Linked DNA regions of Coturnix japonica. The protein of the gene in region 1 purifies or fractionates together with the protein of each later gene. This does not show direct contact. Links are inferred from orthologs where the notes say so. Each region holds a gene or a part of one and is shown in the gene's direction. Other genes may lie near its edges.

Region 1 (3,745 bases):
ATCATTAAATGTTGCAGAAAAGCCAAGATAAATAGGGGATGTTTAATTCCACAAAAAGAGAATAATAAATATATATATGTGTGTGTCATATCAAAATGTAATTGAGAAACACAGCAATGACTAAAGAATCATAAGAGAACCAAATTAAATGCAACTGGGATTTCACATTCCTTCTGAAAATTAAGGCTTTAGCATGAGATAATTAAAGCAAGGACGGCCAACTCGTGATGTGCCAGAACGTATAACTCAGTCTGTCATCTGCATTGCCGAGTCCCCGCGAGCTGCTCAGGAAGCGGGCTGTCAGACACACCGCTCCCTCACCCACAGCACTATCCCCACTGCTCCCCGTGACAGCCCCACAGCCTCCTGCTTGTCACGCAGCTGGACATGCCCTAAATGTGAACTACAGGCATCAGCAGCACATGGAAAAGCTCCTCATCCGCCTCTGCCAAAACACGGAGAAACCAATTTGTGTTGAAGCAGATCAGCTACCTGCAACGGGAGACCCTTAAGAATCCACCAGAGCGCTGAGGAGCCGCACTTCGCTTCTATGAGCGCTGGGTTTGTCTATTCCACCGGGTCTAACTACAATGGCGCAGCGGAGGCGGCTCGTAGGGAACCTCGGAGGGAGAAAAGCACGAGAAAATCCCAGAGTGGGAAAGGAAGGGCTCTGAGAGCGCTCTGGGACGGGAATAGCGCAGGGGCTGAAGGAGAATAGCGGGTATTAACAGCAATCCGACTGCTAAACGCTGAGCGGGGCGGCTTTCGTACTGAGCACAACCAGAAATAGCCCAGAGAAGAGGCAGCACCTCCATAAGGACACACGCACCCAACGGCACCTGACGGGACGCACCCACACACCGCAAACCCCGCCCGCCAACGGCCGCACCCCGCGCATGCGCAGCACGGCATCCCGCCTGCTCAGCCCTCGCAGTCGGCCGGAAGGGGCGGGGCGTGATTTGAAGCGGGCGGCGGGCACCGCCATGGCCGCGCAGCTGGGCCGCGAGCAGCAGGGAATCACCCTGCGGGGCAGCGCGGAGATCGTCGCCGAGTTTTTCTGTAAGGGGCTGCGGGCCGCCCAGGGGTGCGGGGAGACGGGGGCGGGTTGGGGGGAAAAAGGCGGGCGGGCGGCTGGCTCTAATGCCGCGGCCGACATGGCCGCCTGTAGGGCGGGAGGGGTGGCCCCCTTACAGAAGCCTCCCCGCTTTGTGCGCGCAGCTTATGGCATCAACAGCATCCTGTACCAGCGGGGCATCTACCCCCCTGAGACCTTCACCCGCGTCCAGAAGTACGGCCTTACCCTGCTCGTCACCACCGACCCCGAGCTGAAGAACTACCTCAACAACGTGGTGGAGCAGATGAAAGGTGAGACCTGCCCCCCCCCGCTTCCCGTCCCCTTTTCTCCTTCCCCTTTTTCTCATACAGCCGTAGTAAATGCTGCGGCCTCTTCCAGAGTGGCTTTATAAGTGCACCGTGCAGCGCCTGGTGGTGGTCATCTCCAGCATTGAGAACAATGAGGTACTGGAGCGGTGGCAGTTTGACATTGAATGTGACAAGAGCGCCAAGGGTGAAAGGTGAGTGACAGCGTTTCTGTGCCTGCTTCTCCCTGTTGGGAGACACAAGGGAAAGACCAAGTATGGTAGTGCTACCTCTGTAACCTAAGAGCTATCTGACGTTACCAAATAAAGCTGTGGGTGCCATTGATGTGCTCCAGGGACTGGATGCAATCCAGGGGGACCTGAACAGGCTGAGCAGTGGGCCCAAGTGAGCTTCATGTGATTCCACAAAGCTAAGAGCAAGGTATTATACCTGGGTTGGGGCAACCCCTGCTTTCAGTACAATCTGGGGGACATAAGAATGGCGCACAACCCTGCTGAAAAGGTCTTGGTGGCAAGCTGGACATGAAGCCTGAAATCATAGAATTACCCAGGTTGGAAAAGACCTTGAACATCATCAAGTCCAACCGCAGCCTAACCAGTACCCTGACTCTAAAAACCCTACACTAAATCATATCCCTGAGTAGGGATATGACCTAACAGCCCAGAAAGCCAACTGTATCCAGGGCCACATCCAAAGAATTGTGCATGGTCAGCAGGGTAAGGGACGTTATCCTGCCTGTATGCTCTGCGCTGGTGAGCCATCACCTGGAGTACTGCATCCAGATTGAGAATTCTCAGTACAGGAGAGACATGGAGCTGTTGGAGTGTGTCCAGAGGAGGGCCACAAAAATGGTCCCAGGGACAGAACAACTCTCCTGTGAGGATAGTCTGAGAGAGCTGAGGTGTTTAGCCTGGGGAAGGCTTAGGGGAGACCAGAGAGCAGCCTTTCAGTATTTTGAGGGGGGGCTATGTGAAAGAAGCTGACAGACTTGTCAGGGCACAGGGTGTGATAAGAGTGAAGTGTTTCGCTAAAAGAAGTGAGGTTTAGATTGGATATAAGGAGGAAATAAGTTTTTTGGCTTGTTTTTGTTTGTTTGTTTCTTTTTTTACAATAAGAGTGGTGAGGCACTGGCACAGTTCATCCAGAGTAGTAGTAGATTCCCCATCCTTGGAGCCACTCAAGGTCAGGCTGGCAGGACTGAGCAATCTTGTGGATCTGTAGGTGACTGTTTATTGCAGGAGAGTTGGAATACATAACAATTAGAGGTCCCTTCCAACTCAAATGATTCCATCATTCAGTTATCAAAATGTTTTGTAATCTGCAACTGAACAAAGTCCTGTATTACTGCTCTTCTGCTGTTTTGCCAAAACTCTCACCCAACCCAGACAGCAAATATGTCCTTAAAAACACTGCGAGGTTTCACAAACAACAAATTGAAAGTTACAGTTTTGTGAGCCTAAGGCTTGAAAGAATGCTTCTGCATAACCATACAGCAAACATACCCCACAGCAGTGCAGCAAGAACTGTGTTTAAAGAAAGCTGTCAGTATTGGAGGTGCAAGTTGTTTTCTTAAAGAGTTTTCTCATTTTTCCAGCGCACCCCGAGACAAATCTCAGAAAGCCATTCAGGATGAAATTCGATCTGTTATCAGACAAATCACTGCCACGGTAACTTTTCTGCCTCTCCTGGAAACTGCCTGTGAGTATTTGTAACTTCTCCGAAAGAAATGACACTTCTTTCAGAAAGCCTGAACTAGCATTTGATTGTAGAAAATCTTTTCCACTATTCTGTTTTTATTATTATTATTTGAAGTGTCATGTATTGCATTTCTGGGTATATGTTTGGTTAGACCAAGACAGTCTCAGCTATGTACAGTATAGAAGCAGCATCAGATAAAGTACTCTAAGTATTGTCCTGTACTGCTTCTTGTACAACAAACTGAAAAAGAACTGCTACTGTAAATACTGTGCTCTCTTTCAATCAAGCACTTGGAGCAACTTCATTGGAAGTTAAACTCTTAAACTCGTTTTTTCCCCAAAAGGTGCAATTCAAGGTGATTTAAGTAGCTTGAAGAAACTTGGTGTATCTGAGGACCTACAGCTGTCATAAATATTGCGACTACAGGAATGATAACTAGTATTTGTTTTCATTCCTTTAACTGCCATTTCTTTTTCTATAGATGCCATAACTACTGATAACCTTCTTGCATGTCTCCATGCGTTTTAACTTCAATTATGGTATCATTCCTATGTGTGTAGCATTAACTTTTTCCCACCTGCTTACAGGTGCCTTTGACTTGCTGATTTACACAGATAAAGATTTGGTAGTGCCAGAAAAGTGGGAAGAGTCAGGACCACAATTCATT
Region 2 (3,745 bases), on another chromosome or scaffold:
TTAAGACTCAATTTTTGGCTCCCATGTTTGTCTTCCATCAACTAATGAGCAAACGAGAGACTATGGAGACTGGGATGTCAATATCGCTTGCTCAGAGCCCCTTCTCTAGCATGCTTACCCCAAGCTGAGCCATACATCCCTGCACTCCTCATCTGCACCCAGCCCCAGTGAAGAGTCTCCACCAAAATATGTGACGTAGAGACGATCCTTTGGGATCTTGTAGACCTCTGTCAGGAGCTCCCAGGCCATGCTACACGCTTCCTCCTGAGCAGACAGGAATACAAAGGAAGCACAGGAACACAGAGTCGAATGAGACAAGGGGGTTCTTCAGAATGACAGTCAGGCACCAAATCAGCACGTCCCAGCTATCACAGAATCAAAGAATGATCCGGGTTGGAAGGGACCTCAAGGATCATGAAGCTCCAACCCCCCTGCCTGGCAGGGCCACCAAACATACACATTTACTAGATCAGGTTGCCCAGGNCCCGTCCAACCTGGTCTTGAACACCTCCAAGGACGGGGCATCCACAACCTCCCTGGGCAGCCTGTTCCAGGGCCTAACCACTCTCCTAGTAAAGAACTTCCCCCTAACATCCAACATAAATCTTCCCCCTTTCAACTTAAAACCATTTCCCCATGTCCTGCTATTGTCAGCCTTTTCCAAGAGTTTACTCCCCTCTTGGGTGTAGGTTCCCTTCAGGTATTGAAAGGCTGCAATGAGGTCACCCCGCAACCTTCTCTTCTCTAGGCTGAACAAACCCAACTCCCTCAGCCTGTCCTCATAGGGGAGGTGCTCCAGCCCCCTGATCATCTCCGTGGCCCTCCTCTGGACCCTTACTCTCGTCACCTCACCTTGAAGTAATCCCCGAAGGACCAGTTCCCCAGCATCTCGAAGAAGGTGTGGTGGTAGGTGTCACGGCCCACGTCCTCCAGGTCGTTGTGCTTCCCCCCGGCCCGCACGCATTTCTGGCTGTTCACCACCCGCCGCTGCTGTGCCAGCTCGCTGCGGGGATGCGCCGTGCCCAGGAAAACGGGCTTGAACTAGAGGGCATGAGGCAAAAACACCCACTATTGCCAGCTGTCACCCATGTTCGGCCCTCAAAGTATATGAGAGAGGGCATCCGGGCTGAGGGGGGAGGAAGGTCAGGGCCCGCACCTGGTTCATGCCCGAGTTGACGAAGAGGAGGGTCGGGTCGCCGCGGGGCCGCACGGGGGCGGAGGGCAGGAAGCGGTGGCCGTGCTTCTCCTGGAAGAAGCGGAGGAAGGCGGCGCGGATCTGTGCCGAGGGCGGGCAGGAGGCACCGCGACGGGGACAACGGGGCCAGGGCGGCCGGACTGCGAGCAGCGGGAGGCGCAGAGGACCGGCCGCCGCCATGTTGGCCGGGGCGGATGTCGGCACAGAGACTTCCGATGAAGCGGGGCCCGACGGGACAGCGGAGGAGCGCCGGGAGCCCACCCGGTGCGGGGCCCGGAGCGGCATGGCGGCGGGAGGCAGCTCGCGGCCCGCATGGTGCCTGCGGAGAGTCGGGGCGGGCGGCGGCTGGCTGCTGCTGGAGGCCGGCACGCAGGTCAGCGGGGCGAGGGACGTGGCCCTTGTGTGGTGGGAAGGCCTCCCAGAGCGGGTGTGGTGGAGCCTGGGGGTTAAACGAGGGGAAAGTCGAGGCCGGGCCGGCTGCTTTTAGCGCCGGTAACGTGGGAAGGGGTGGGGATGAGAACCAGGAACGGAGCTTAATTCCCTGCGTACCTCGCTGTTATGGGCCTTAACGTCAGCTCAGGTCTACAGAGAAGCTGCTTGTAGTACTGTAGTGTAAGAGGAAAAAGGCCTCTTTTACCGGGGCTAGCATTATGCAACGTAGTCGCTTTTCATGCTTCTGTTACCTAGGTTATGCTTTGCATTTGCTTCCATTGTATCTCAGTAGAACGTAGGGCATTCTCGAGCGTGTTTGGAGCTGGGAGGTGTGCACAAGCACTCAGTGACTGGTACGTGTTGCTGAGCGTGGAATGTAGCAGGCTTGCAGCACCGGGGTGACCTCATTGCAGCCTTTCAATACCTGAAGGGAACCTACACCCAGGAGGGGAGTAAACTCTTCGAAAGGGCTGACAATAGCAGGACATGGGGAAATGGTTTTAAGTTAAAAGAGGGAAGATTTAGGTTGGATGTTAGGGGGAAGTTCTTCACTAGGAGAGTGGTTATGCCCTGGAACAGGCTGCCCAGGGAGGTTGTGGATGCCCCGTCCTTGGAGGTGTTCAAGGCCAGGTTGGACGGGGCCCTGGGCAACCTGATGTAGTAAATGTGTATGTTTGGTGGCCCTGCCAGGCAGGGGGGTTGGAGCTTCATGATCCTTGAGGTCCCTTCCAACCCGGGTCATTCTGTGATTCTGTGCAGCACAGGCTGTATGAGCTGCATGGAGAATCTCGCTGAGGTGAAGCTCTGTTTGCTGCAGCACTGTGCTGTGTGGCAATCTCAGAGAGGGCGAATGGAGCTTTAAACAGCAGCCTGCAATTAGATCAGATTTAACAAGCTACAATGAAACCGTACTGTCACTTTATGCCTGCTTCTTGCAGAAGATGCTGTCGGATTCTGCTCAGATTATTTAGCTTACTTTCAGACTGGCTGTAAGCAGCACGTAGCTCAGGTATCATGCTTTAAGGGAACAATTGTATGTTGTTTTTTTACTTTAAATGACAGTTTTCTGTGCTATTTTTGTTCTCTGTCACAGAATCTTTCCTGTTTAGAGTTGCACAGATGCCGTTAGCTAAAGAAGAGGGTAAGACATATTTTGAGACCCACACTATTGCACTGGCTTGAAAAAATACTGTTTAGTTACTGTCCTCAACTCTTGGGTAATAGCTTTAAGATGCTAATCAAGGTAGATTTCTGCTGTACTTAGATTCAGCTCATATGAATTTTATTGACCGTTTTGTTGATTTTTTTTTTTTTGTTTCAACTGCTTTATTTTTAGGTAACTGTAGGCCGGGGATTAGATCTCACATACCAACTGGTGTCCAAAACCTGTCCCTTGATGATTTCTCGTAAGCACTGTGTTTTTCAGCAAAATGCAGAAGGGCAGTGGACTGTTAAGGATAATAAGGTACAGAGACTGACCGAAGACCTTTTACTCTTAGTTTTACTGTAGCCAGTGCTCTGTTTGGCATAAAAAAAACATATGATCTTCGTTTCTAATATGGTGTAAGTGTGATGGGAGGTTCATGGAAGCACATCATGTCTGTTGTGTGCTTGTAGCAGGAAGCTTTGGTCTGCTGCAGCTGGGATGCAGGCCTTAGTGCTTTCTGTATGTGGCCTTATCCCTTGGTCTACCATTTCCAGGCAATTACAGTCCTACGCAGGGCACTTTGCAGGCTGTGAACTTGCTCTGTGCTCCTTTAGTATAAAATAAGTAAATAATTTACATTCAAGAAGATAAATGTTTTCGTACTGCAAAGAAAAGGATACACTGATACTGCAGTGACTAAATTGCTTTGTTTATAACCAATGACAGTGAAAATCTGTTAGAAAGAAAAGCATGCTTTGCATTGTCCTCAAATATATTCAGGTTCTCCTCAGCTGAGTAGAATGTAGAGAAAGTGTTGAGATCAGAGTCTACAGCGAGGTCTGTCTTTTCCAGTGGTGATCTGTATTGTTTTTTAATCACGAGCTCTGCACTTTCTCGGTTGTGCTGTGGAATCAGTAACTTGCCTTAAGATAGCACCAGCACAGCAAAAAAATGTTCAGGACGTCATACAG

Evidence for each region.
Region 2: the proteins of MAD2L1 (region 1) and RNF8 purify together in Homo sapiens (co-immunoprecipitation; 3 studies listed by BioGRID and IntAct, with this or other methods). This does not show direct contact. The link is inferred for Coturnix japonica from reciprocal best matches to the Homo sapiens genes MAD2L1 and RNF8.

Annotation. Positions count from the first base shown.
Region 1 is NC_029519.1:48,826,476-48,830,220, forward strand, and holds the start of MAD2L1 (mitotic spindle assembly checkpoint protein MAD2A), read left to right. Parts: upstream 1-921; 5' UTR 922-983; coding exon 984-1,059; intron 1,060-1,218; coding exon 1,219-1,365; intron 1,366-1,453; coding exon 1,454-1,574; intron 1,575-2,974; coding exon 2,975-3,078; intron 3,079-3,665; coding exon 3,666-3,745. UniProt on the Homo sapiens protein: Component of the spindle-assembly checkpoint that prevents the onset of anaphase until all chromosomes are properly aligned at the metaphase plate.
Region 2 is NC_029518.1:27,124,755-27,128,499, reverse strand, and holds the start of RNF8 (E3 ubiquitin-protein ligase RNF8), read left to right. Parts: upstream 1-1,480; 5' UTR 1,481-1,568; intron 1,569-2,335; exon of another isoform or gene 2,336-2,720; 5' UTR 2,721-2,768; intron 2,769-2,963; 5' UTR 2,964-3,023; coding exon 3,024-3,092; intron 3,093-3,745. Other genes in the region: AARS2 (alanine--tRNA ligase, mitochondrial), read right to left, coding at 119-264, 853-1,041, 1,157-1,480. UniProt on the Homo sapiens protein: E3 ubiquitin-protein ligase that plays a key role in DNA damage signaling via 2 distinct roles: by mediating the 'Lys-63'-linked ubiquitination of histones H2A and H2AX and promoting the recruitment of DNA repair proteins at double-strand breaks (DSBs) sites, and by catalyzing 'Lys-48'-linked ubiquitination to remove target proteins from DNA damage sites.